Linked DNA regions of Drosophila melanogaster. The protein of the gene in region 4 purifies or fractionates together with the protein of the main gene of each other region. This does not show direct contact. Each region holds a gene or a part of one and is shown on either strand. Other genes may lie near its edges. The genes, in order: RPA3, prod, CG3548 and Gnf1.

The links.
Region 1: the proteins of Gnf1 (region 4) and RPA3 purify together in Drosophila melanogaster (affinity purification with mass spectrometry, with the first as the bait; one large-scale study listed by BioGRID). This does not show direct contact.
Region 2: the proteins of Gnf1 (region 4) and prod purify together in Drosophila melanogaster (affinity purification with mass spectrometry, with the first as the bait; one large-scale study listed by BioGRID). This does not show direct contact.
Region 3: the proteins of Gnf1 (region 4) and CG3548 purify together in Drosophila melanogaster (affinity purification with mass spectrometry, with the first as the bait; one large-scale study listed by BioGRID). This does not show direct contact.

What each region holds. Positions count from the first base shown.
Region 1 is NC_004354.4:11,613,762-11,618,732, forward strand, and holds RPA3 (replication protein A3), read right to left. Parts: upstream 2,080-4,971; 5' UTR 1,994-2,079; coding exon 1,757-1,993; intron 1,686-1,756; coding exon 1,584-1,685; 3' UTR 1,336-1,583; downstream 1-1,335. Other genes in the region: CG1703 (uncharacterized protein), read left to right, coding at 1-1,194; Met (Methoprene-tolerant), read left to right, coding at 3,107-4,399, 4,469-4,971.
Region 2 is NT_033778.4:18,967,612-18,973,455, forward strand, and holds prod (proliferation disrupter), read right to left. Parts: upstream 3,523-5,844; 5' UTR 3,398-3,522; coding exon 3,185-3,397; intron 3,118-3,184; coding exon 2,523-3,117; intron 2,457-2,522; coding exon 2,224-2,456; 3' UTR 1,793-2,223; downstream 1-1,792. Other genes in the region: CG15107 (uncharacterized protein), read right to left, coding at 3,980-4,164, 4,218-4,575, 4,634-4,822; Topors (topoisomerase I-interacting protein), read left to right, coding at 5,716-5,844.
Region 3 is NT_033778.4:24,597,255-24,603,729, reverse strand, and holds CG3548 (uncharacterized protein), read right to left. Parts: upstream 3,784-6,475; 5' UTR 3,683-3,783; coding exon 3,345-3,682; intron 3,270-3,344; coding exon 2,750-3,269; intron 2,622-2,749; coding exon 2,118-2,621; 3' UTR 1,363-2,117; downstream 1-1,362. Other genes in the region: Samtor (S-adenosylmethionine sensor upstream of TORC1), read right to left, coding at 1-80; CG3565 (uncharacterized protein), read right to left, coding at 356-592, 654-761, 819-1,208; ATPsynF (ATP synthase, subunit F), read left to right, coding at 4,035-4,113, 4,233-4,477; CG13587 (uncharacterized protein), read right to left, coding at 4,639-4,831, 4,897-5,239, 5,297-5,735.
Region 4 is NT_033777.3:4,903,647-4,911,208, reverse strand, and holds Gnf1 (germ line transcription factor 1), read right to left. Parts: upstream 4,588-7,562; 5' UTR 4,496-4,587; coding exon 4,487-4,495; intron 4,421-4,486; coding exon 3,090-4,420; intron 3,028-3,089; coding exon 2,119-3,027; intron 2,061-2,118; coding exon 1,283-2,060; 3' UTR 1,128-1,282; downstream 1-1,127. UniProt on the Drosophila melanogaster protein: The elongation of primed DNA templates by DNA polymerase delta and epsilon requires the action of the accessory proteins proliferating cell nuclear antigen (PCNA) and activator 1. This subunit binds to the primer-template junction.

The DNA.
Region 1 (4,971 bases), on a different chromosome or scaffold from region 4:
CGCATGAGAGTGTCCCTAGCAAGAGCTCTCTATCTGGAGCCCACGTTGCTTATGCTCGACGAACCGACCAATCATTTGGATCTTAATGCTGTCATTTGGCTGGACAACTATCTGCAGGGCTGGAAGAAGACCCTGTTGATCGTGTCCCACGACCAGAGTTTCTTGGACAACGTCTGCAACGAGATCATACATTTGGATCAAAAGAAACTGCAATACTACAAGGGCAACTATTCCATGTTCAAGAAGATGTATGTGCAGAAACGCCGCGAGATGATCAAGGAGTACGAGAAGCAGGAGAAGCGCCTGCGCGAGCTGAAGGCCCACGGTCAGTCGAAGAAGGCAGCGGAAAAGAAGCAGAAGGAATCGCTCACACGCAAGCAGGAGAAGAACAAGTCTAAGCAGCAGAAACAGGACGAGGATGAGGGACCTCAGGAGCTGTTGGCCAGGCCCAAGGAATATATTGTCAAGTTCCGCTTCCCGGAGCCATCGCAGCTCCAGCCACCCATTCTGGGTGTCCACAATGTCACCTTCGCCTTTCCGAGCCAGAAACCGCTGTTCATCAAGGTTGACTTTGGCATTGATCTAACTAGTCGAGTGGCCATCGTGGGACCCAATGGTGTGGGCAAATCAACCTTCCTCAAGCTGCTGCTCGGTGAATTGGAACCGCAGGAGGGTGAGCAGCGCAAGAATCACCGACTTCATGTGGGCCGCTTCGATCAGCACTCAGGTGAACATCTCACGGCAGAGGAATCGGCTGCAGAGTACCTGCAGCGTCTGTTCAATCTGCCCCACGAAAAGGCGCGTAAGGCATTGGGTTCCTTTGGTTTGGTCAGTCATGCACACACCATCAAGATGAAGGATCTGTCCGGTGGTCAGAAAGCCCGTGTGGCCCTCGCTGAGCTATGCTTGAGTGCGCCGGATGTACTAATTCTCGATGAGCCTACGAACAATCTGGACATCGAGAGTATCGACGCCTTGGCGGAGGCAATCAACGAGTACGAGGGTGGCGTGATCATCGTCTCCCACGACGAGCGTTTGATCCGTGAAACAGGTTGCACTCTCTACGTAATTGAGGATCAGACGATCAACGAGATTGTTGGAGAGTTCGATGACTACAGAAAGGAGGTTCTCGATTCGCTCGGCGAGGTGGTCAACAATCCTAGCGTGGTGGCCAATGCGGCTGTGCTGCAATAACCCTCAAGTTGCATACGGACTTGGAGTCCATGCAACTGGTCATCACTCGTCAGCTGGCTCGCCCTATGTTAATTGTTCAACTGTTGAATTGATTATCTGCTAGTTAGTCTTTTTATACCAACATATATACAATAACAAATTGTGGAAGTAAATGTTATTACACAAGAGCGTTTAAGAATGTGTTGTTTATGTTATTAAATTGTGGGTATTAAGTATTTGTTGTAGAATATACGTGGAACTGGTTAAAACACCCGTAAATTGTACTCGTAATATATGTAGATAGATGATTTATATTTAAAGTTAATGCCAGCTCTGAGTGTTCTCCAAAAAAATGGAAAAAATAACATTAGAGTACATAATATTAATTCTTAGATATAATTGTGGACATCCTAGCCGCTGCGATAGAAGGCCTTGACATTGTTAATCAGGTGGCTCAATCCATTATAGCCATCCTTATCGAAGTCGATGTTCTCGCCGCCAAACTCGATGACCTGCAAATGAATAGTGGGCAAATGGTTTGGGATCATTGAAATAAATGACTCCATGGATTGAGTGCACCCACCTCCTTGGCCCTGAGGGTGTCCGCACCATGGGGCACTCCAATGACCTCGACCCAGGCCCCTTCGGCGGCGCCCAGCTCACCCGGCAGATTGATCTTTAGCTTGTGGTTGTCTGTGGAACTGGCCAGCAAAGTGGATCCCGCGACGCTCTCCACGCGAACCATTATGCTCACGGTTTGGCCGGAAAACTGCTTCAGCATGCCGCCGTTGATAATCGAGCGTGGATCAAAGGCATCCATAATAACTCCTCAGTTAATAACGTTCAAAAAACAGCCAATTTCAGCAGAAAATGAAATGCCGTAAACAAGAAAGAGCGCCAATAGTTATCGAGCGTGCTAATCGATAATAAAATTGCATGACGTCTGCTATCGAAATTATTCGAATTTTGTAGCAAAAATATTTATGGATTTATTGTAACATCAAAAGTTATTACATTATTACTGTGGACTTATGTATTATAATAAGAATTAATAAAAATAATTTATAATAGAATTATAAAAAGACCTGATAGATTACATGTATTACAACAATGTTATCGACAGCGAACAAGATGTTCGAATCTTTCTGATATTTTGTCCGGTGTGAACGTGCGAATTTTAGTACGACAACCAGTTACATCGATGTATCGATAGTTTTTAGACTGGCCAATGTTTATTGTTATAAAATAAATGTTACAAATAAACAATTAATCACTTAGTATAAACAAAAATAAGTGCAAGCAGCAAGTGCGTTGTTAAAACGACCGCCGCCCTCCGAATTTCCTTATTGCGGGCATTAAATCGCAACAACAACAACGCCACCAGCAACAGCAACAACAATAAGCAGGAGATTCAGATTCGCAACGCAATCAAAACGTAAAAAAAAAACGAAAAATAAAAAACTACAAGGCGAAACGCATAAATAAATAGGGAAGCAAATAATAGTAATAATAAGACTAAAAGCAAGTGGAAAAGTACGAAAGCGAAAAGAGAAAACATATGTACGTTGCGTGAGAGTGACGTGTGTGTGTGTGTGTCAGTGAGCGAAGGAGAGTGAGCGAGAGAGGGGAGGCGAGCAAAAACAAAAACAACAGCACAGCATAAGCGAGACCTTGAAAACTTTAAAAGCAGCAAAAAAAACAAGACAACAGCCAAAAATAAGAAACTAAAAGCTGCAAAAGTAATAAAAAATATATTTTAGCCGAAAAATTTCCATAATAACAATTCTAGAAGTGCGGAGCGTACACCCTGTTATGGAGAGTGACGATTTTCATTTACCGCAAGGCGCCAATTAAAGGGGAAAATCCATAAATCGAGGATTACAAGTGGAAAACAAGGAGGCAGTAACTCCAGAAAACGCCCAAAAAGTCCAAAATGGCAGCACCAGAGACGGGCAACACGGGCTCCACAGGATCCGCTGGCTCGACAGGATCGGGATCGGGATCGGGATCGGGAAGTGGGAGCTCCTCAGATCCAGCGAATGGACGGGAGGCCCGTAACCTTGCCGAAAAACAGCGACGGGATAAGCTTAATGCCAGCATCCAGGAGCTGGCCACCATGGTACCACATGCAGCCGAATCCTCCCGTCGCCTGGACAAAACCGCCGTCCTTAGATTCGCCACCCATGGCCTGAGACTTCAGTATGTCTTTGGCAAGTCCGCTTCCAGACGTCGCAAGAAAACCGGCCTCAAGGGAACGGGTATGTCTGCCTCACCTGTCGGAGATCTACCCAATCCCAGTCTGCATCTAACGGACACTCTAATGCAACTGCTGGACTGCTGCTTCCTCACCCTAACCTGCAGTGGCCAAATCGTTTTGGTATCCACCAGCGTGGAGCAGCTATTGGGTCACTGTCAGTCCGATTTGTATGGCCAGAATCTACTGCAGATCACGCATCCCGATGATCAGGATCTGTTAAGACAGCAGCTAATACCCAGGGATATAGAGACCCTGTTCTATCAGCATCAGCACCACCAGCAGCAGGGGCACAATCCCCAGCAGCACTCCACTTCCACGTCGGCCTCAACTTCGGGCAGTGATCTGGAGGAGGAGGAAATGGAGACGGAGGAACACCGTCTGGGTCGGCAGCAGGGAGAGGCGGACGATGACGAGGATCACCCGTACAACCGACGAACACCCAGCCCGCGGAGAATGGCCCATTTGGCGACCATTGATGACCGACTACGCATGGATCGGCGCTGCTTTACCGTCCGCTTGGCTAGGGCTTCCACGCGAGCGGAGGCCACGCGTCATTACGAGCGGGTTAAGATCGATGGCTGCTTTCGTCGCAGTGACTCCTCCTTAACCGGAGGTGCCGCTGCCAACTATCCGATTGTCTCCCAGCTGATACGACGCTCGAGAAACAACAATATGCTGGCTGCTGCTGCAGCAGTGGCAGCAGAAGCGGCGACGGTGCCGCCCCAGCACGATGCCATTGCCCAGGCGGCGCTGCACGGGATTAGCGGCAATGATATTGTCCTGGTGGCCATGGCCAGGGTGCTGCGAGAGGAACGGCCGCCTGAGGAGACGGAGGGTACAGTGGGCTTGACCATTTACAGACAGCCAGAACCCTATCAGTTGGAGTACCATACGAGGCATCTAATCGACGGCAGCATCATCGACTGTGATCAAAGGATTGGTCTGGTGGCGGGATATATGAAGGATGAGGTGGGTATATTAACATCATCTCTCTGAACTGCTTACGACAACTAATCGTGTACTCTCCACTCGAAACAGGTGCGCAACCTTAGTCCCTTCTGTTTCATGCACCTGGACGACGTTCGCTGGGTGATTGTGGCCCTTCGACAAATGTACGATTGCAACAGTGACTACGGCGAGAGCTGCTACCGTCTGCTGTCCCGCAACGGGCGCTTCATTTACCTGCACACCAAGGGATTTCTGGAGGTCGACCGTGGCAGTAATAAGGTGCATTCCTTTCTGTGCGTCAACACGCTGCTCGATGAGGAGGCGGGCCGGCAAAAGGTGCAGGAGATGAAGGAGAAATTCTCGACAATCATCAAGGCGGAGATGCCCACGCAGAGCAGCAGTCCCGATTTGCCCGCCTCGCAGGCACCGCAGCAACTTGAGAGAATTGTCCTCTATCTAATAGAGAACCTACAGAAGAGTGTGGATTCAGCAGAGACGGTTGGCGGCCAGGGCATGGAAAGCCTAATGGACGATGGCTACAGTTCGCCAGCAAATACCTTAACTCTCGAGGAGTTAGCTCCCTCGCCCACGCC
Region 2 (5,844 bases), on a different chromosome or scaffold from region 4:
GGCCTTTGCCTAATGCCATACCATCACGTATCCACATGATTGCGGTGGCAATAAAAGACATAAAGTGTCACCAATAATAAAAAAAAAATTGAGAAACACTCATATGAGTTTAAACATACATAGGCCTTCAGTTATATATTATTAAATAAATTAAATTAAAAATGTTTTAATGTTATAGATTCGTCCGCTGCTGTTTTAAGTCTAGTTCCAAAAAGCTGCTTGATGTTTTTTATCACACCCAGCCAACTTTTCCATTCAGCAGCATTTTTTTGCTCCCATCAACTTTAAAGCTTCAACATTCTGGCCAGTTTATTTCCTGCCTTTATTTCGAAAAAATGCGCAAATTCAGGATGGCAAAGTTCACTTCGGCGTTGTTTTGTCAGTTACGAGTTAGTCATTCTAAAAATATGACGAAACGGATTCATTCATCAATATACATGAGAAGGGACAACATACTGGGCTCTCTACTGGCTGTTTCTACATATACTCGTATCCTTCATGGGGTACTAATAATATCATGCCGCTAAAAGTAATTAAATATTAAATAATGGCCACTTTCGTCTTTTTCAGAAACAATTCACTTCAGTCGAAGGGTATTCCATCTACGTATCCCAGCATCTCACATACTGGTCGGCTTTTATTTTGTGCAGTTTCTTTTGCTGAATTTTTATAGCACCCGCCCATGGGGTCAATTCTGCACGCTGGCCGTCATGTGTGCCCTGGCCCAAGCCCAAAACCAAAGCCAATTCCAGGCCTAGACCCTGGGCCCATACCTATAACGATACCCATACCCATACCCATACCCATACCCACCATACCCACATATCCAGTCCCAAATCCATGGACTCATATAGCCGTGGATGGCAGAGCGAAACGAGTGCAACACGAACTGCTTAATGGACTGGGCATGCACTCTGAGCGACGACCCATCAGTTCCTCAAACTTGGTTCCAGTCGCAGTCCCAGTCGCAGATGGAGCCTCCATTTCATGGCCATGTGAGAAGAAGACATCTGGGTCCCAGACACTCATTTCCCGCCGAGGTGTGTGTGCAGGTTAATCAGCTTTGCCAGCGGGCTTTTCATCAAAGAGCGAGCGGCACCCACACAGGCGACACCACATTGCACTCAAAAAAATCAATGACCAACAAGGAGCAAGCCTGAAATATCAAGAAATATGCCTAAGATGCAATTTCTCACCTGTGAGATAAAACACAAATATCAGGAATTCGATTAGCTGGTCATTTTGTTGAGTGCACCTTTACATAGAGCACAGATTAAGCATACGACGTGTTGTGCAGTTATCAACGCGATGCCAACGATTCCTAACGGAACACCGTGCGTCGTCCCATGGCGGAGGTCTGTTCCCTCAAACGCTCCACCTTGGTCTTCGGTAATTTATGATTCGCAGCGCACGGCCCGCAAATGATCTATTGCCCATTGCAGTTATCCAAGCGGAGTAGGTGGAGCAGGGAGCAGCCGAGGACTTTGGATCGGCACTTGTTGCATCAGCATCGGGCGACCATAACAGCCACAAGTGATTTCTTTCGCATCGATGCCTCCAGGCGCTGCTGACAGTTACAAAGTGCGCCCACTAGTTGGCGGTCAGGTTAAAATGACCCAAACTAAAAGCCAAAGCGAAGCCGAGCCACAATGCATATACGCGTTGTCGACGCCATCTCCCTAGCTTTGATTAATGGACTTTTCGTGTTGGCTTCGATTCTGGCCACGGCGTCATAAATAAACTCTAAAAATGCAACAACAGGCAAAAGGTGGAGCACGTCTGTGCGGCGCATATTTATCATTGGTAAACTTTATTCTTAACATTTACATACAACGCGTTAAAATTACTTGTCCAATTGTTTTTCACTTTAGATATTACAATTTTATGCCTATTTCATATATATGGATATCGTAGATGAAGTGCTTGAAAAGTTGAAAATAACTGTTTACACAATAGAATTCTATGTCAATTTTAAACTAGTCAATTTAAATCTGGCTACTATAAGTTACAGTTTTGTGTGTGTTCCGGCGGAGCGCAGGACTTGGAGAGCTAGAAAACGTTCGAGTGCCAAAGAGCACATTCGTAAAAGACCTATACAATTCGAGCTGACTTGACTCGTTCCATTGCTTTTGCTAATGCTGATCCTTTCGCCGTGGCTTCTGCTGGTGCTGGAGTTTTTGCCGACTGCTTAGACCCACTGATCTCGCCCTGCCGCTTGGGACACTATAAGGACGGCGGATCGTACTGGAAGCCCGGGTTGTTGAACTTGAAGCGCGCAATCTCAAATTGCAGTGTCTCGAATTTGATGTCGGCCAGTCGCTTCAGCTGGTGCGCGATCTGCTGGGCATCGCTGCTGCTCAGCGCGCTTGTCAGCGAACTGGGTTCCCGCTCCAGCTTTGTACTGTGCAGCGGCGGCACGGCCTGCATGTTTGAAATGCAACGCGGCGCATTTTTAACTGAAAGATATGGAAAAACGTGATGTTAACTGCTTAAACTTAAGCAAAGTAAAACGGCATAGTTACCTTCGTAGATAATTTGCTCCCTGGGCTGTGTGCGCATCCGCTTGACGGGCAGCTCGCCGTTGATCAGCTTATTGCCGGAGGAGGCTGTGCCCGGATTGATGACGGGGGCAGCAGGCCTGCGGGATGTGACGTACTCGACGGCGTGCGGCTGCACCGTTTGGGGATCCTCCTCGACATGCTCGAAGGATGTGTTGTCCACGACGATGGTGCGATAGGTGCCGCCACCCGTATTGACCGCCGTTGTGGACGCGGTGATGCCGGTCTCCGCCAGATTCTCCTCCATCATGTCCTCGTGATCGACATGCTCCTCCACCATCTCCTCCTCGTCCACCTCATCGTTGATTGCCTCTTCAACGGCTGCCTGAAGTTCCTTTTGAAATGCCACCGAAGTACGCTGGCCCAGTTCCTCCATCTCGTCGTCGTGCTCATCCTTTTCGGACTTCAGATTGAGCATCGTTTCGCCGCCGGTGGTGGGCACCTTGCCAAAGAGATCGAGAGCGCGCGTCTCCACGGAGGTCATCGAGATGTCCTTTTCCGTGGACAGAAGGCTGCGTCTGTACTTGCAGCGAGTGGTGTTCTTCCAATCGTTTAGGCGCTGTATGTGGAGCAGGAAATTCGCGATTAGAGGTAACATTATTTGGGTGATGTAGTGGTACTCGTACCTTGCGCCACTCCTCCGGCGTCAGTGTGGGTCCGGAGCTGCACTTGTTTAGCCGGTCGGAGAGCTCCTTCCACTTTTTGGTCAAGTAGTTCAGGTCATAGTCGCGCGGCACTCGTCCGGTGGCGAAAATGGGGTCGCTCTCCATCATGTCGATGTACATTTGGTACTGCTCCGATGAGGTGCGTTTCTTGCGGCGGTCCATCTTGCCGTTCATCCGGGTATCCTTGCTCTGTGCCTGCGTGCTCGATGCCGTGTTTAAATAGCTGGCAAAAGCCCTAAAATGCAAATCGACGCCACCAAGCGATGCGAGATGTTCACAAACAATTTACGCATTTAGCGTTTGGGATTTTCTAGTTGCATTTTGTTGCTGTTGGCGCAGGGTTGCATTCGGCACGCCAGTGGTGCGCATCTGGCGGGAAGCCAAAAAAGCAATTAGATGCCATGCGATAGTTATGGCTAGATGTGCAATAAATAATTCAATTTTGTTGCAATAAAAACATGCGGATTCAGAAATGATTTGTCACAATATTTATTAGCGGTTTCATATAAATCAATAATACATTTCAAAATATATGTGCAAAAAGTATTTCGTCGAACGATATGCATAACAACAGTCTTAAAAACGACTAATTGGTATATGGTACACACTACTCAAGAATTTGTTTTCAACGAATGCCTACTGTACTACTTATTGAGCGTTCCGCGGCTTTTAATTCGAGGCGAAATCAGCAGGTCCCTCTGAGCTCACATATTATATTACATTATACATTATATCAATGTGCATGGCTAGCATGGGCTATAATTCCGGAACGTACTCGAATCCGGGATTATTGTACTTGAAGCGGGCTATCTTAAAGTGCAGCGATGCCTCGTGTATGTCCGAAATGCGTTTCAGCTGCTCCTGGATTTTCTCTCCATAGAAGGCAGACGGTTCTTTCGCGGCAGATTGATCAGATGTGACATCCGCGACTGAAATCAAGGCTATGTCCCTTTATAGGATATTTAGTATTTACATTAGATTTGCGTCTACCCACCTTCGTAGATAATCTCACTGGAACCATCGAGCCTTAGCTTTTTCGCGGCACTGTGACCATTGATGATCGTTGGGTTGGCTTGCTCGTGAGGCTCTGCTATGAACTGCTGGTACTGCACCTCCTCCTCCTCCTCCTCATCCACCAACTCCTCCAGGTTCTCATTCTCTTCTTCATCCAGTTCCTCTTGCTCCTCCATCAGTTCGTGCAGGCGCATCGAAATTCCCTCGCGAAAATTCGGTTCTAAGGAGAAGATCTGCAGGGCTCTGTTCTCCAGAGGAGTCATTGCATTGCTCTTGTCATCCGAGTTGATGCTGCGTCGGTATTTGGAGCGCGTGCTGTTCTTCCAGTCGTTGAGGCGCTATAAGCATGACACACTGTGGGCTTGTACACTCGATACCCAACTGGTTACAACATACCTTTCGCCATTCCTCGGGCGACAAAGTGGGACCCGTGGAGCACTTGTTTAGCAGATCGCTGAGCTCCTTCCACTTCTTGCCGTCCTGGGTGCGACTCAGTTTGTTGGCCGACATCGGGGGATTCTCCTCCATGAAGTCTAGGTATACTTCGTATTGGTAGTACGACGTCCGCTTGTTGCGTCGATTCATTTTGGGGATCCAAATTATGACCAACAATTGAAAACAAACAAATTGAAACAGACGCCACAAAAAGGCAATAAAGCAACGAGCTATCGATAACACAAACAATTAAGGCTCCGAAATTAAATACCAAAACCGAAATACCAAACTATTTTAGAAAATATCAAAATAATTGTTTGGTTCTCCTAGGTTCGAAAAGAAGTTTCTTGGAATTTGTAATTTACCCGCGCCACAATCTCACAAGATTGTGTAATACATCTAAAAATATTTATTTTTCTCAAAATATCACATTTCAATTTATAAAATAAATTGGTCTAGTTCTTTAAGCATTTTTTGTGTATTTCGTAATTTTTGTAACAAAGCTAGTCCTGCTTTTTCAATCAAGTTCAATCAGAGGGTAGAACAGCTAGTAGAACCGCTGACTCAACATATTTTCCAAACCTTTTTTATTTAAAATTTGTATTCTGAAGTAATTCAAAAGTATATCAATCTCCGTGGTCTGCAGCATTTAACTGTACGCGACGAACGGTATCACCGTAGTGGTCAAAAAAATCAAGTTTCCTGCATTTTCAGGTGTAAAATTAACTGAGATATAGTGCGATTTCTGGCCCGAAAATTGTGCTATTTTACAGAACAGGCCACTGACCACCACATAGACCGCAAGAGAATACGGATAATGCGTCCCCTAGCCCGGAAAAGGCCGCTGGAAAACGAGGATTGAGAACCGAATTGCGAACCAGATGATAGAGTAGCGTGCCAGCCAGCGAGTGCGAGCGAGAGAGGGCGAGAGGAGCAGAGTGAGAGAGAGAGGAGGACAGAGTAGACACAAAACTTCAGGCCCGAGTTCTCGCCCATCTTACGGCCGATTTTACAGCCCATATAGCCGCTATATAGTCGCCAGAATGGCGGAGGAGAATCCCGGAGCTCTTGCCGCCAACGTGCCCTATTTGGGAGTGGATGAGTTGGGCGCATCGGTGATTGTGGAGCCTGGTTTGGAAGGATCCAATGCCGGAGGCCGGACGCTACCGGCT
Region 3 (6,475 bases), on a different chromosome or scaffold from region 4:
TACTCCTTAGTCAACTGGCGCAGGCTTTCGTGGCAGCTCTTCACGATGCTGGCCAGGCGCTGGTGCTCCTCCGTGGCCATTTCGCTACCGTTTCTTCGGTGTTACTAAAATGGTGGGTCGCGTGCAGCAGGGATGAGACAATCCGGACACACTGACTAATCGGTATCGTTATCGAAGCAGCCTCAATGAAGCGAGTTTACCGTTCAGAACCAATATTCAAAAGTAACGTACAAAACTAGTTAATAAAAGTGTAAACCTTTATGATGCACTAAATTATTTGCACTTTTCAATTTCTAGACGTGTCACAATTTAAGTATCTGGTTAGATAAAAATGCGTTCCTGGACGTCCTGTTAGCTAGCTGGCCTTGCCGCCGTCTGGTTTTATCATAATCCTGGGATTGGGCGAATCGTCAAACCAAGACATTACATTGGCGCACAGCGCAAGGACCTCCATCTGGGGATTCGGGGGAAACACGCGACCAAAGCACTCCAGCAGCATGGGCTGTCGGCGGACCACCTCGTAGTACTCATCAACCCCAATGTTGGTATCCTTGTCCAAGTCGAATTTGAGGAACAGCATCTCCTTCATGTCCTGAAGGAATGCGAAATGTGTCAGTGTTTCAATGGAACAAGTGTAGGGGATGGTGCCTCACCAAGCGCAGCTCAATGGATTCGTCTTCATCCTCGCTCTCAAAGAACTTGCCGACGAAGAACCCAACTTGCTCGCCATTCAACTGCTTGGAATCGCTTTTATCGTAGACCTGCAATGTAAGCAAATGGTCTAGGCTAATTTCATATGAATACTATGAATTGCCCACCGAGAATGCGAATTCCATTTTCAGCTGAAGATCTTTGGTGAAGTATACGGTGAAAAGCCGCACAAAGGACTCCAAGTGTATATGCTTGTCGGAAAAGAAGTCAGGAGGCCTGGAACCTGGTGTATGGGCTATTCTATACACAATGGTCGCAATGAGATCGCGATCCACGATCTCAAACAAGAGCTCCATCAGCGCAGAGAGTTGCTGAATGGTCATGTACTTTGCTCTCGGCCCATTGACCAGCACAAACTTATGGTAGAGCATTACAATGCTAATCAGCTCGTTATGCGAGAAGATCGAGTCCTTTGCCAGGCGAGCAATGTCCTTCATATACACGTAGTTGAAGCGGGCATTCTCCAGAGTGTCCAAGGAGCCGTCCAGGTCCTTCATTTCGATTTATCACAGCTTTCTAAAAGTTCAAGTGGATGAAATATATTGATAGAACCCTTGATTTTTAAATACTAAGCATTTGCAGAGTTGCCCACTTTGATTCCTGTTTCGGGGACTGAGAGATCGGAGAACCCCCCTTTAAACGCACGTCGTTCATCTGTTTATACACTATGTATTTGTATTTCATTATCTAATGGTTTAATCGTACCTTGCTCTCGCCCGATATAGGGTATTAATTAAGCAGAAGCAGGTGACAGGATATTACAGCGCTATACAACACGACGTACAGTAACTTATGCTTAGACGAATTATAAAAGATTCTCGCAATGTATGGACAATGGATACATTGATCTGCAACTACGGCAGCCCAACTGGTGGCAGCACAAGTATAAGTAGTAGTTGTGTAAAAAAAACTTAAAGCTAACAAATGAAGGTATAAAAATAATACAGTGGCCATAGAGAATACTGACTGATGAGTAAATTGCGTTCTGCAAAGGGGAACTTATTCAGAGTCTGTGCATGAGTATTTTCGAGTTTGTTTTTTTTTCGACGACACAACCGCATTTTGAATTGATCTCTTCGCCCGGAGTACTTAACAGATACGGATACAATTATGTAATACTAATTTCTTGAAAATGCAATGCCTGTGAGTTCGTCTCGTGCGAATTGCACAATAAACAACAGTCCATTCGTCCGAGTGGCAACTTGAGTGTGTCGATGAGTATTGTATGCGCGTCCGGCGTTTACGTTTCCGTTTCCGGTTACTCTGGCTGACCGGAAGAGCTACATTTCGCTAAACATATTTCAAGCTAAATTTTAAAGTACTGTTGATGTTTCCTCTAAATGCCTTACACCCTAATTGCTGGCTCTCTTCGTATTGTATATGCATATGGGCCAACAGCCACGCCCCTAGTTGCAGGCGGCATTGAGCGCCAGCGCCCCCTCCGCACTGGTCGATGGCCCGACCTCGTGGACATTGTTGTAGTCCGCTTTGGCATTGCACTTTGCTGAACTCTGATCCTGTATGCTTCCGTTCAGGCCACCGCTCTTCAGCGAGTAGATCCCCAGGCGCGCCTCGTGCTCCCGTCGTTGCTGCCGCAGCCGGATGTCGTGCTCCTCGCGCATGTGCCGCAGCTTGAGGTCCTGCTCCTGCCGGTAGTAGGCCATCTTCACCTCCTGCTCCATCTGCTCGAAGCGCAGCTTCTGCTCGTGTTCCCGCCGGGCGTAGTCGATTTCGGCCAGACGGGCCTGCTTGAGCAGCCTAAACAGGTCCTGCTTGTACTTCTGCTCTATCTCCGTGGCGGCGACCAAATCTAAGGACTGGCTATTTGTGTCTGCAACTGGGGTGGCGCTCGGAGCTGCGTTGGTGGAGGCTTCGTTCTCGTCGGACAGCAGCGACTGGGCCTGTGAGAGCTGGTTAACGATGAGATAGTATTATTAGTAAGAAAGATTAAGATTCCCCTTCACAAAAATTTGCAACTTGTTCAGCTAAACCTTAATTAATAATAATAAATAAACTTGCGGCTTGTGTTCAAACTCACATTCCTTTGTCGCCGCTTTCGTGGTGGGCCTACGCCCTTTTCGTTCTCCTCCCCCGTTTCGCCGGACGTTTCTGTCTTGGCGCCCGAGGGCGACTGCTTGGCCTTGGTCCGCTTGCGTCGCTGGGCTGGCAGCTGGGCGGGATTTCCCTCCTGCTGGGAGTCCCCGTCTCCGCCAGCAGTGGAGGGCGGCGGCGAGGGGATGGCTATTGTGGAGGTCTGCAGCGTGTCCTCGCTGGCGTTCGTAGAGTTGGGCAGAGCGGCCAGCGGCATGTCTTCGTCCTCGTCGATGTCCATGAGCTCCTTCTTAAGAGCGCCGTTTGTGTTCGCGCTGCGTGTCTGACTGCGCGAGGTGACCGGATCCTTCTGCATCTCCTCCAGGAACTCGATCATCCGCATGCCTTCCAGGGCCTCCGTTTTCGGATGCTTCTGCTGGTGCTCCCGCTTGGCGGAGTTCTTCATGCTGCGCCACTGCACCTGGATCTGCTCCAGCAGGCGATGGCGGAAGTTAAGGGCATTGAACCTGGATGGGGGGTTGGAATGGAAGGAGTGAAGGGCCATTATAAGACGAGCTCCACTGCCCAATGGCGCAACTTACTGCTTGGTGATCTGCGACCAGGCCAGACGCTTGGCCTTTATGCTCTTGGCGTCCACGCTCCGGTTCTCCACGAAGGCCACCTTGGACTTGATGACCTCAAGGAGCAGCCCCCTTTCCGCCTCCTCCCAGTTAAGGGAGCGTTTCTTGCGCGTGCCCTTCTTCTTGCCACCCGCGCCTTCCTTCTCGCCAGCATCCTCGGCCGCATCCTCCGCGTTCTCCGCCCCCTCGTCCGCGGTGGCGCTGCTTGACTTCTGCGGCTTCAGCTCCACCTTCTCGTCCTCGTCGTCGTCCTCCGGCGGAGAGGAGGCTCCCTTGGTCAGCAACTCCTCCAGTTTCATTGTTTTTGTTTACACACTGGATTCGCTTTGGCTGGATTCTGATTCGAATGCCCAGGCTTGCAAAAATCCTATTTGATTTCTGTATATACTGGAGCTTAGTGATGTGAGAAGTGCATCGTGCATCGGGCATCGATATATTCGCTGTATCGATGACGTAGCGAATACATCCTCCCTGTTAGCGGAGACGCACACAATAAATTCGCACATAGTATATTTCGGTATATTGGTCGATGAAAATCCCAGCTCTCGCCGCTTTGGTCATACTGTCAGTATCGAAGGAAGTAAGTAGCAGGCGTAATTTTATGTTTCATAAGAATCCGATTTAAGAATATATCTCAACCAAACCAGCGCGATGGCATTCGGTGACTATCCAGCTGAGTACAACCCCAAGGTGCACGGGCCCTACGACCCCGCTCGCTTCTACGGCAAAGGTGAGCAGGTTACGTAATTTTTGCGGCAGGCACAGAGCACATTTGCACTGCCCAAAAATGTGCAGCGTTTTACATAATTTAAACAACTTTCCGACCTCTCCGCTCTCTCCGATCCGCAGCCGATGTGCCCTTCGGCCAGGTCAAGCTGGGCGAGATCGGCGCCTGGCTGGGACGCCGCAACAAGACCCCCAACGCTGTGGCCGGAGCTGTGAGCCGTGCCTGGTGGCGCTGGCAGCACAAGTACGTGTTCCCAAAGCGCGCCGGGATCGCTCCCTTCTTCCAGCTGACCGTCGCCAGCATGACGTTCTTCTATCTGATTAACTACACCAAGTTGAAGCACCACAGGAACTACAAGTACCACTAAGCGGCGCTGCCCGGTGGTCCTGCATCTGCAACAGATTCTACACTTTCCACAAGGCGTGCGAGAGGCGGGCAATCACCACTAAACTATATCTATTTGGCTTTTGTGTTTTGAAAACTGCTTAAGTGAATAAAACGGCTGCGAATATCCATGCTGCCATAGACTCAGACTCGGTCTCTTCCGCACTCGAAGACTGCATTTGGGCCGATGTCCAGCTCGGAACTGGACTGCTCCCAGCCGAAAGTTGACCGGGCCGTGTGGATTTCGCAGATAAAGGGCAGCTCCCGGTCGCAGTTCAGGGTTTGCCAGGTTCCCTGCGGCGTCAAGGCCACGCAGCTGGCGTTGCCCAGATCACCACTGCAAATTCGGTTAGATTTAGAGAAGATAGCATTGGCGGCTAACCTAATAAACTGTCAGCCTACCCAACTCGAGGATGACCACCATCCCAGGCTCTGTAAAGAAAGCACTGCAAGCTCTCCCCTTGGGAGTTCCTGAAGTCCAGTGGGCTCAATGACGTTGAGCTGTTGTAGGCCAAACCCACATAGGCCAGATAGACATTACCTTCTGCCAGAGACTGTGATTTCCTGTTGAATTCCACTAGCCATTGGGCCAATAAACTGGTTCTGTGTTCGGATGCGATGTGGGCCAGACTACCAGTGAACTCCGAGGAGTTTGAACAGGTCAGTGAGGCATTCAAGTAGGCACTAGGCTGAGTATACACCACGAACAGCCCAACCTCCGGTATGCAGCTGTAGTTCCTTACGACTAGCAAGAACCACAAAATTATTCAACCAAACAGATACGCTAGATACTTCATTTAACCTGTTGGCCTTCCATATAAGCTGTAGTAATCGAAGCGACTGTCATTGACCATCCCTGAAAATGTGTTATTCTGAGGACACTTCAGGACGTGGCAGTTGAAGAACTCCCCTGGCTGTTCGAAGACACTCAAACGACTTCGAATGCGCTGCTCCTTGTCGCCCTGCTTGCCAAAGGACCTCTGATCAAATGCATTTAGCCTCCTTTTCGGTCCTCCTGGAGCGTAGTTCAAGGCCAGCCCACGCATATCATGCGCCAGATCAGCACATTCCTTCAGAGAGGATGTGTTTTCCAGGGCCAGAGCTTCATCAGCTGCAGCTCGTTGGCACTGGCGAACCAGGTGGAACTGCAGCGGGTTCAACTTCCCAGTGGGGCAGTTCAAGGAGCCCCTCGACACACCCATCAGGTAGGTAAACACAAGAAACAGGACGGCAGGCGCCATTGGAAGTAACTCGGAGTAGTTGAATCCGAATCTCACGTATCTACGATCATATCTCCACTGACATATCACACTGAAATTGTGCCGCTTGGTGTTGTAATCCACGACAGGAAGTGTCACTCACTTTCAGATATTAGGGTCAGTTTGAGTTTATTGTTCATTGATTAATATTAACTTAGAGCTACACTAAATTGAGCTTCAGTATGAATTGAATCGCGTGGCTTGTACGGCTCCAGAGGAGCATTCTGGTTGCATCCTGGCAGTGGACGTCGGAATGCTCGATTGAAGCGGTGCAAATGCTGAGCTTAGTTTGAGAACTGTTCACTTCTGCCTTCATATATGTTATATATATACCATGTATAATAGGTGGCTGATCCGGACGGCTGAATTATAATAAGGGCTAGAACTCCTGCCGCATGGGAATTAAGTACGTAAATCGATGACAAGAAAGTGTTTAGGAAATTCTACTAGAAGGGCAGTTGGTCATCCGAAGAGTAAATAAATTACGCGTAGTGCATTCATAGTAAGGCATTAAGTAGATACGAGTACAAATATCACCTGAGCGTCGGCTGCTGCATTCGTTGTTAGTTCGACAGATTGTTCTGGGAATGGGGTTAGTCAGGGATGTAGAAACACGCTTAGGAGGGGGGGCGAGTCCAACACCGACTGTGCGGAACAGAGCTCGATGGGTGTCCATTTCCGAATGTGGATGTGGACCAAGATCTCTGCGACATTAGCGGGCA
Region 4 (7,562 bases):
ATGTATGCGTGAGCTGGGAGGCTGAGAGTGTCCTTGTGACTGGCCTGGCCTGGCCCAACAACAACAGCAATGGGGTGGGTGCTTGGGCAGGGGGTGTGGGAGGGAATCGGAGTCTGCACTTGCCTGCTCTATCGCGCGCTCGCTCTCGCTCTCGCGTTCGCTCGCCCAGCTCGGCAGCGTTGTATCTGTGTGTGTGCGCGGTTGAAGTCGTTGTGTGTGTGCTGGAATTTACGTGCTTATTGAATTTTCAGAGAGTTGCGCAAAAAACAAAAAAAAGCGGACGAGTTCGACGCTTTGAACTACAATTAATTTTAATTTGATTAAAAGCGCGACGCCAGGCTGGCTTCGCTCATTTATGGGTGTTGTTTTTCGCCGAGCTGCGCCCTTTACACGGATACACAGATACACACTCCCACACACACAGGCGCGCGTAAGCCGAGAATTTTCAGTGCGAAAAATATAGAACGCGAAACCCGTCGAACGTGGCAGGTATTCCCGGAAAATCAAGTGGATCGCGCACTCTGGCAGTTAATCGAATGCTTCGCTTGAATTTGCCCGCACATGCTGTCCCCTGACTTTTCTGGCAATTTTCACTGCATTTTCCGCTGCCCAGTACGTGCATCCGTTCGCGTTGACATCGGGGAAAAAACTCAGATACGATACTCTTTGGCGCTACCACGAGATAGCAGGGCTGCCGAAACATCGATTGCTGCATTATCGATTGTGCTTCGCAACATCATCGATTTGTTTCAGGCCAAAAACGTTATTATGTTATAATATATTTATAATAATTAATTAAGTATAAATTAAAGACTTAAATTAATTTTTAAATTGTAAACGTATTTTTCACAAATGTAAATGTACGATAGTACAAATTAGTTTAAATTATAGAGCATGGAGTGACCATCACTGATCGCGTTACCAACAATTTTTTTTAAATAAATTTGAGCTTGACATATTCGCGCTCTTGATCCTTATACAGTTAAAGCAAACAATTGATCAATTAAAAAATCATCATCTCAATTCTTTCGTAGTATTATTCATACAGACAATTATTTTATTACCAATTTTTCCCTTTTTAGTTTACACCTACGCCACTCAGTGTTATAATAAAATGTTTTGCAATTCAAGCACATATTTTATTGGTAAATATATATTTTCAGCAGTATAAACAGTGTCGGCCAGTGCCGGCCATTCATGAGATTTTAAACAAAAACTACTTACAAATGGGAAATTTGATGGCAAAAAAATCATCATATAATATAGGAAATCGTTAGTGCATTCACTTTTTGGCCTTGGCCTTAGACTTTGAAGCCGTGGAAGATGTAGCCTTTTTGGATCCACCAGACGCTTTTGACGTAGTTGTCCTCTTTTTGGCTTTGATCAAACTATCCAGCTCTAGGTTGTCCTTGTCCTCGTCTTCCTCTGATGATAAGTGGCCACCAGCTCCGTCCTCTTCGCCCGGACCCTCGTCCAAGTAATCGTCATCCGCTCCAGCAGCCTCTGATTTCTTCTTTTTGATGCCTGCTTGAGCGGAATAGGAGTATGCCATAACCTCCTTGTTGTAGGATCGCGTTAAAGCGGCTTTTACTCTCCCATCCACTGCGTCCAGTGGGGATTTCTTGCCGGGCCAGGATGTAAGCTCGACCAGCGAGTCCAGATCCTCACGGAGTAGATGGTAATCCTTCATAACGTCTAAAGCAGCGGGCACACCCTCCTGCCCATCCTTTGCAAGAGGTCGCACAATATTATCCAGAAGGAAGGGGGCGTAATCCAGCCTCACTGATAGCCTTGAGCCCGAGGTGCAGACCCTAGTATGATCATGCAGCTCCTGGGCCAGCCTGGCACGTTTTCCAGACTTGGAATTCTTGCCCAGCCACCCGGGAAAGTTAATCTGTCCAGTGAAGTGGCCACACATGTGCTCGCCAGGAAGGACCGAGCTGAAAAAGGCCTGAGTGGGTAGAAGACTCCAAGCAGAATTCGCACGAATACGCTTTTCAACAAGGTCACCCAAGCTTAGGGCATCTGCCGTAGCTGCCACCTTTGCCAGGACATCCTTTCTGCAAAGAGTGAAGTTGGTGAATGGGTACGCCCTTGGCTTAGGTAAACTAGACTTACTTGTTTCCCTGTGGTAGGACCTGCAGATAGTTTTGCTGCACAAAGAGCGGGGCCAGGCTGTAGTCGTGAAAGAAAAGGTCGCTCTTGTCGGCAAAAGACATGTGTTTGTGCTCGTCCGCGGTGAAGACTTTTCGCACCACCTCCCAGGGTCCCAGCTTCAGATCCTTGGTGGCAACCTGCTGCCCTGACTTTTGGGAAGCGTCTTCCTTGGCGCTCAGCAGGGCAATGTGGTTAATGGATTGCCGAATATCGTTGTTGGTAGCCGCTATGATTTCTTCCACTTTGGCCGGTGATATCTTTACTTTTTCCTTAAAGCAGATGCTCATTATTTTCCCTTTGATTTGCTCGAGGCGAGGCCTCTGAAATCGCAGATCGTAGCAATAGTTAACCAGGGATCGAATTTTTGGATGGTTGCGATCATTACACATGCAAATAATTGGAATAGAGCTATCCTTGATCAAGGCAATCAGCTCCTGCATTCCACCACGGTCCTCGTTACCGGCCATGCCATCAACTTCGTCCATTATGAGCACATGCTTGCGGGAGACCGCTTGGCCTTGCCCTGTAAAGTAACCGGAGAGGGATTTGTTGCTCAGCAGCGTGGACACTTCATCCTTGAGCAAGCGTTTGCTGCGTGTGTCGGAGGCGTTGAACTCCACCGCATCGAAGCCAAGCTCCTTCACTACCAGAGTCGCCGTCGTGGTCTTTCCTATTCCAGGGGGTCCCGAAAGTAGGGCCGCCTTGTAGAAGCTGCCGTCGTCGTTCTTGGCCCAAGGATTGGGCCGTTGGGGCTTCTTGTTTCCATCATGGTTAACATACCACTTGGACAACCAGTTCATCAGCCTAGGAAAATTAAAATAATGTAAAACTTTAACCCTCTCCTGTTTGGCTTTCAGTTTCAAATTGTGACTGTATAATAAATATATAACTTTGAAAGTGGAAGCTACCATTTATACATTTAGGTTACTCACTTGGTCACGTTGCTGGCGGCTCCTGCCTGGCCAACGATTTCTTTTATGCTCGTAGGCTTGTGCTTGTCCACCCAGGCCATCCCGACCACATCCAGAGTCTTCAGATCGGCAGTTCTTGGCGACGGAGGGTGTTCTTTCTGGGAGCTGGGCTCTTTTTTTACTTTCAAGGTAACAGCTGGTACATCATTAAGCTTATCCTTCGTCTCCTTCGGGGAAGTGTGTTCTTCCTTGACTTTATGTTTGGCGATATCATGCTTCTCGCCATATTTCAGTTTAGTGGCTTCCTTCTCCTTTTTATCACTGGACCTTCTAGAAGTCTTGACTTCCTTTTTCCCTTTCTCCTCGGAGCTGTGCTCCTTCTTCGGGCTTTTCTTCTCTTCCTTTACCTGCTTAGCGATTCCTGATTTCTCCCTGATTAGATCGAAGAGCCCGTCCTCGCTGAGAATGGGTATATTGAGTTCCTCAGCCACAGCTAATTTCTTTGGTCCAGCCTCTTCTCCTACGACCAGATACTTGAGTTTCTTTCCAACCACGGTCATCACCTTTCCGCCATACTCCTTGATCACGGACTCCGCCTCCTCTCGTTCCATGGACTCGAGGACTCCGGTTACGACAAAGGTTAAGCCACTCAGACAATCCGGGGATCCCTTTGGAATTTCTTTGCTGCCGGGGTTCAGGCACGAACTGCGGTTTTTGTACTTCTGGTAGAGCACGGCGGAAGCACGTTTACGCTCGTGGCGTTCCTCGTCTGTTAGGACACTGGATTCTAGATCTGCCGCAGGTTTCTCCTTCTTCACACGCGGAGTGGTGGCTTTGGATTTTGTTGACTTGGGTTTTGGCGGTTCCGGGCTGCTGTTCTTTGCTCTTTTAGGCGAGGGAGAGCTCCTGGTTATCGAGTGAACCTTTTTTTCGGGGGCAGCCTCTTTGATACTCTCGTCCAGATCAACTTCCATTAAACTCCGGTCAATGTCTTCGTTCTCGAACTCGAGAACAGCTTTGGTCTTCGGCTTGGGCACAATCACCCGTTTGGTTTCTCCACCGAAAAGCTCCGTAGGATCTACGTGCCGCTTAAGCTTGGAGAGCGCTGGTTTCTGCCCGTTCCTGGCCTTCTTCGCAATCGGTTCCGGTGTGGCGGCCACCACATCATCCTCGCTGGATGCTGTCTTCGAAGCCTTGCGTTTCTTGGTCTCCGGCGGACTGACCACCTCGTCCTCGTCGCTGGAAATTATCACGGCTTTCCTGCGTTTTGGCGCCTTCGACGGCGTCTCTCCATTTTCGGCCTCGGCACTTTTCGCCTTGGCCGGCAGCCGTTTGAAAAAGGAGTCAATGCCCTGGAACAAATGATTTTGTTAAATTGATGTTTTCACCTAGTGCCTGACTGTCTCTACACAACTTACGCGTTGCATTACGGCAGGAATTAATTATTATAAAATTAATGCTGCGAGCTTCAGAATACGGAACAGTGTTACCAGACACGAAATCCCCAGTGTAACCGCGTCGGTGACGATTGAAAAAAACTAGTATAAGTATTTTAAAGAATCAAAAGCACTGAACGTTATCGATAGCTCACTAAATGTGTGTCAAGATACAAAAGGTATAAAGTCGTCTGGGCAGCAAAAAAAAATTCGCAACGGTGAATTGCGAATGAAAAGGAAATAGAATTTATTGTTTTAAGCACGTACAGAAAAGAAAAAAGTCAATTTTATGAAAGAGGCACAAAAACTGGAAAGAAATTAAATGAACATAACACTTGTTGTGTTATTAAATATGATAAATAACCAATAAATCAATTTTGTCATTCTCTGTCACTGTAGCGAGGAATTGAAAAGTATTTTCCACTTTACATTCAGTTGGTTATCTAATCCAGTTGTAATCGATATTCCAACAAAAAAGTTCGGACGGCAACGGGCTGCACGTTGCAAATCTTAAAACTGATAAATCTATTGTTTATATATTTCTTTGTCTTTGATGACTTTGATTTCGTGAACCGTGTTATAATTTTATTTACATGAATGTTAATTTCACCAATTTTTTACTTCAAGTGCAGATCTACAGATCATATCGCATGCGATTTTCGATGTATTTAGCGAATACATCTTTAGCGGAGACATCCTTCACATATATGTATATTTGTTTTTAGCGAAGGCACCCTCCTGATATAAGGTTTTTGTCTTTGATAGAAATCAGAGGGGCTGTAAAATTTTCAAATGCTGAGCTCAATTTTTTGCCGAATACTTAATTACTATTTTATTTAGTTATTTTTATTTTATTATTTAGCTTCAACATATATTCTCTTTTAAATAGTTTGTTGTTCAATGTACAATTGTACACAGACCTGACACAATAGGGTGGCGAAAATAAAGGCGACTTCAGGAATAGAAGGAAGCGTTGAGATATAAAATAATTATTCATATTTCTGTCACGCTTCGAATACCATTATATACCTAAAATTAAGTTACCTTTCAACTGGCTACTCTTATAATCGTATTTTCAACATTATTGACTTATACCCATTACTCGAGGAGTAAAAGGGTATACCACATTTATACTATATATACTATAAACTAAATTTTTGAAGAATTTGATATTTTTTCATAATTTCATAAGTCATGTAAAGTTCTATCGATCTAAATTTGTATCCAAAGCCGCACAAAACTGCCACGCCCACTTTTGAAAACTTAAGATTTTTCTTCGTTTTATTATTTGCCTTGCCAATTTGAATTATTTCAATCAATTATGAAATTTGCGCGTCCGCATTCACTCTAGCTGAGTTACGGGTATCTGAAAGTCGGGGAACTCGACTATAGTATTCTCTGTTTTTTTTTTTTCTCAAAATGCGTTTAATTGGAAGACTGCAATAAAAGGTTTTTGATTTATTTTTTATTACAGTATGAATATGTTCTATATTTGTATAATTGAGCCGGTGCTTACGAAGTAGTCTAGAATGAGCATTTGATATTATTAGTATTACAAGTGGCTAATGCTTAATGCATTATGTACATATGTATTTTGGGCAGAGAAGCCGCTGCTGCTGCTGTTAACATTCGTATTATCCTGGCTTATAAGCCAAGATGATGGGCTTGGGCGTTTCGAACGCCATCACTATGCGAGTAGACTAAGATCCGGAGCAGGAAATGCCAGCCAGTTCGCGATTAGTCTATTAAAGCATATTTGGGCCGAGGCCAATGGGAACTTGGGTCATTTTGGCTAAAAGTTAAATGGTATAAACTAAGCATTATATTTTACACCTGCAGATATACTTTAGGTAACTGCCAACAGGACACTCACCTGTCGAGGGTCTAGTGTCGGTGTTTATATATAATAGCGATTCTGACACGTTTTGATTTGAGTTGCAACTACGCCTTATTCAAATGATAGTTAAAAAAGTTTATAGTTATAGGCAGAAGGACGCGTTTTCGACCATATAAAGTATATTCTTATCAGGATCAATAGACGAGTCGATCTGGCCATGTCCGTCTGTCGAACGTCGAGATCTCAGGAACTATAAAAGCTAGAAGAAGATTCCAGATACATAGAAGCAGCGCAAGATTGTTGGTTTATAAATATATTTTATTTTCACTCTTAATACATTTTTGTATATTTTAACAGAGTAGAATTTAATGCGAAATTGCGAAAATGCGAATAAATTTTTGTCAAAGGTTTCGAGGCCCTATATACATTACTGGATACTAACCTCTTAAAAATATCTCGAATTTCCATCTATATCTTTATGAGATATTTTCTTGGATCAATTCAGAAAGGCCTTAAAAAATAAAGTTTATACAGTTGAGCTTCTTGCTGCTGGTTACACTGCAAGAAAAAGCGTTCATGTTCGACGTCCGGTAACTAAATAAGTTAAAGTCCAGATATGGGGAGTTATAATAGCTTAATGAGTAACGCCTATCTCTGCCTTAAATACACACACCTTCAAAACATTTCATAGAGTTCATGGCCGATTTAAGATGATAATAAAACTAGGAGTACAAAAAAGCAGAAAGTCCCACGTTACCCATGAAATGCATGTTGAAAAAATGCAAAGCTTGTTAGTCCGTGTCAGCAAATTGCACTTTACAATAAATGTCAAAGCGGAGAATGCAACTAATGCCAACTTGCCTTTTCATTTAACATGTTATTTGACATATGCGCCATCAATCTTCCGCTAATGCAACGCAATCTAATCAAATCAAATCAAATCAAATCGCAATCACATAATCAACGCCACTTTACATCGCCCCGAAGTCAAATCCCCCGGCACCCTTTGCCCTAATGCTTCGCACAAGCTGTTTAGTTGCATTTACAGGGCATTAGACCCCCTCCACCGATTTCCCCCTGTTCCGCGGCGGTGGGCAACCCCCTTAGCCAACTGATTACACGCGCAATTAAGGGTTGCGGCCGAGCCACCCACTCCACCGCCTACCTCCCACCCAACGACCTTGCTGGCGGCGGTTGCACGTGCTAAACGCCACCGAATGT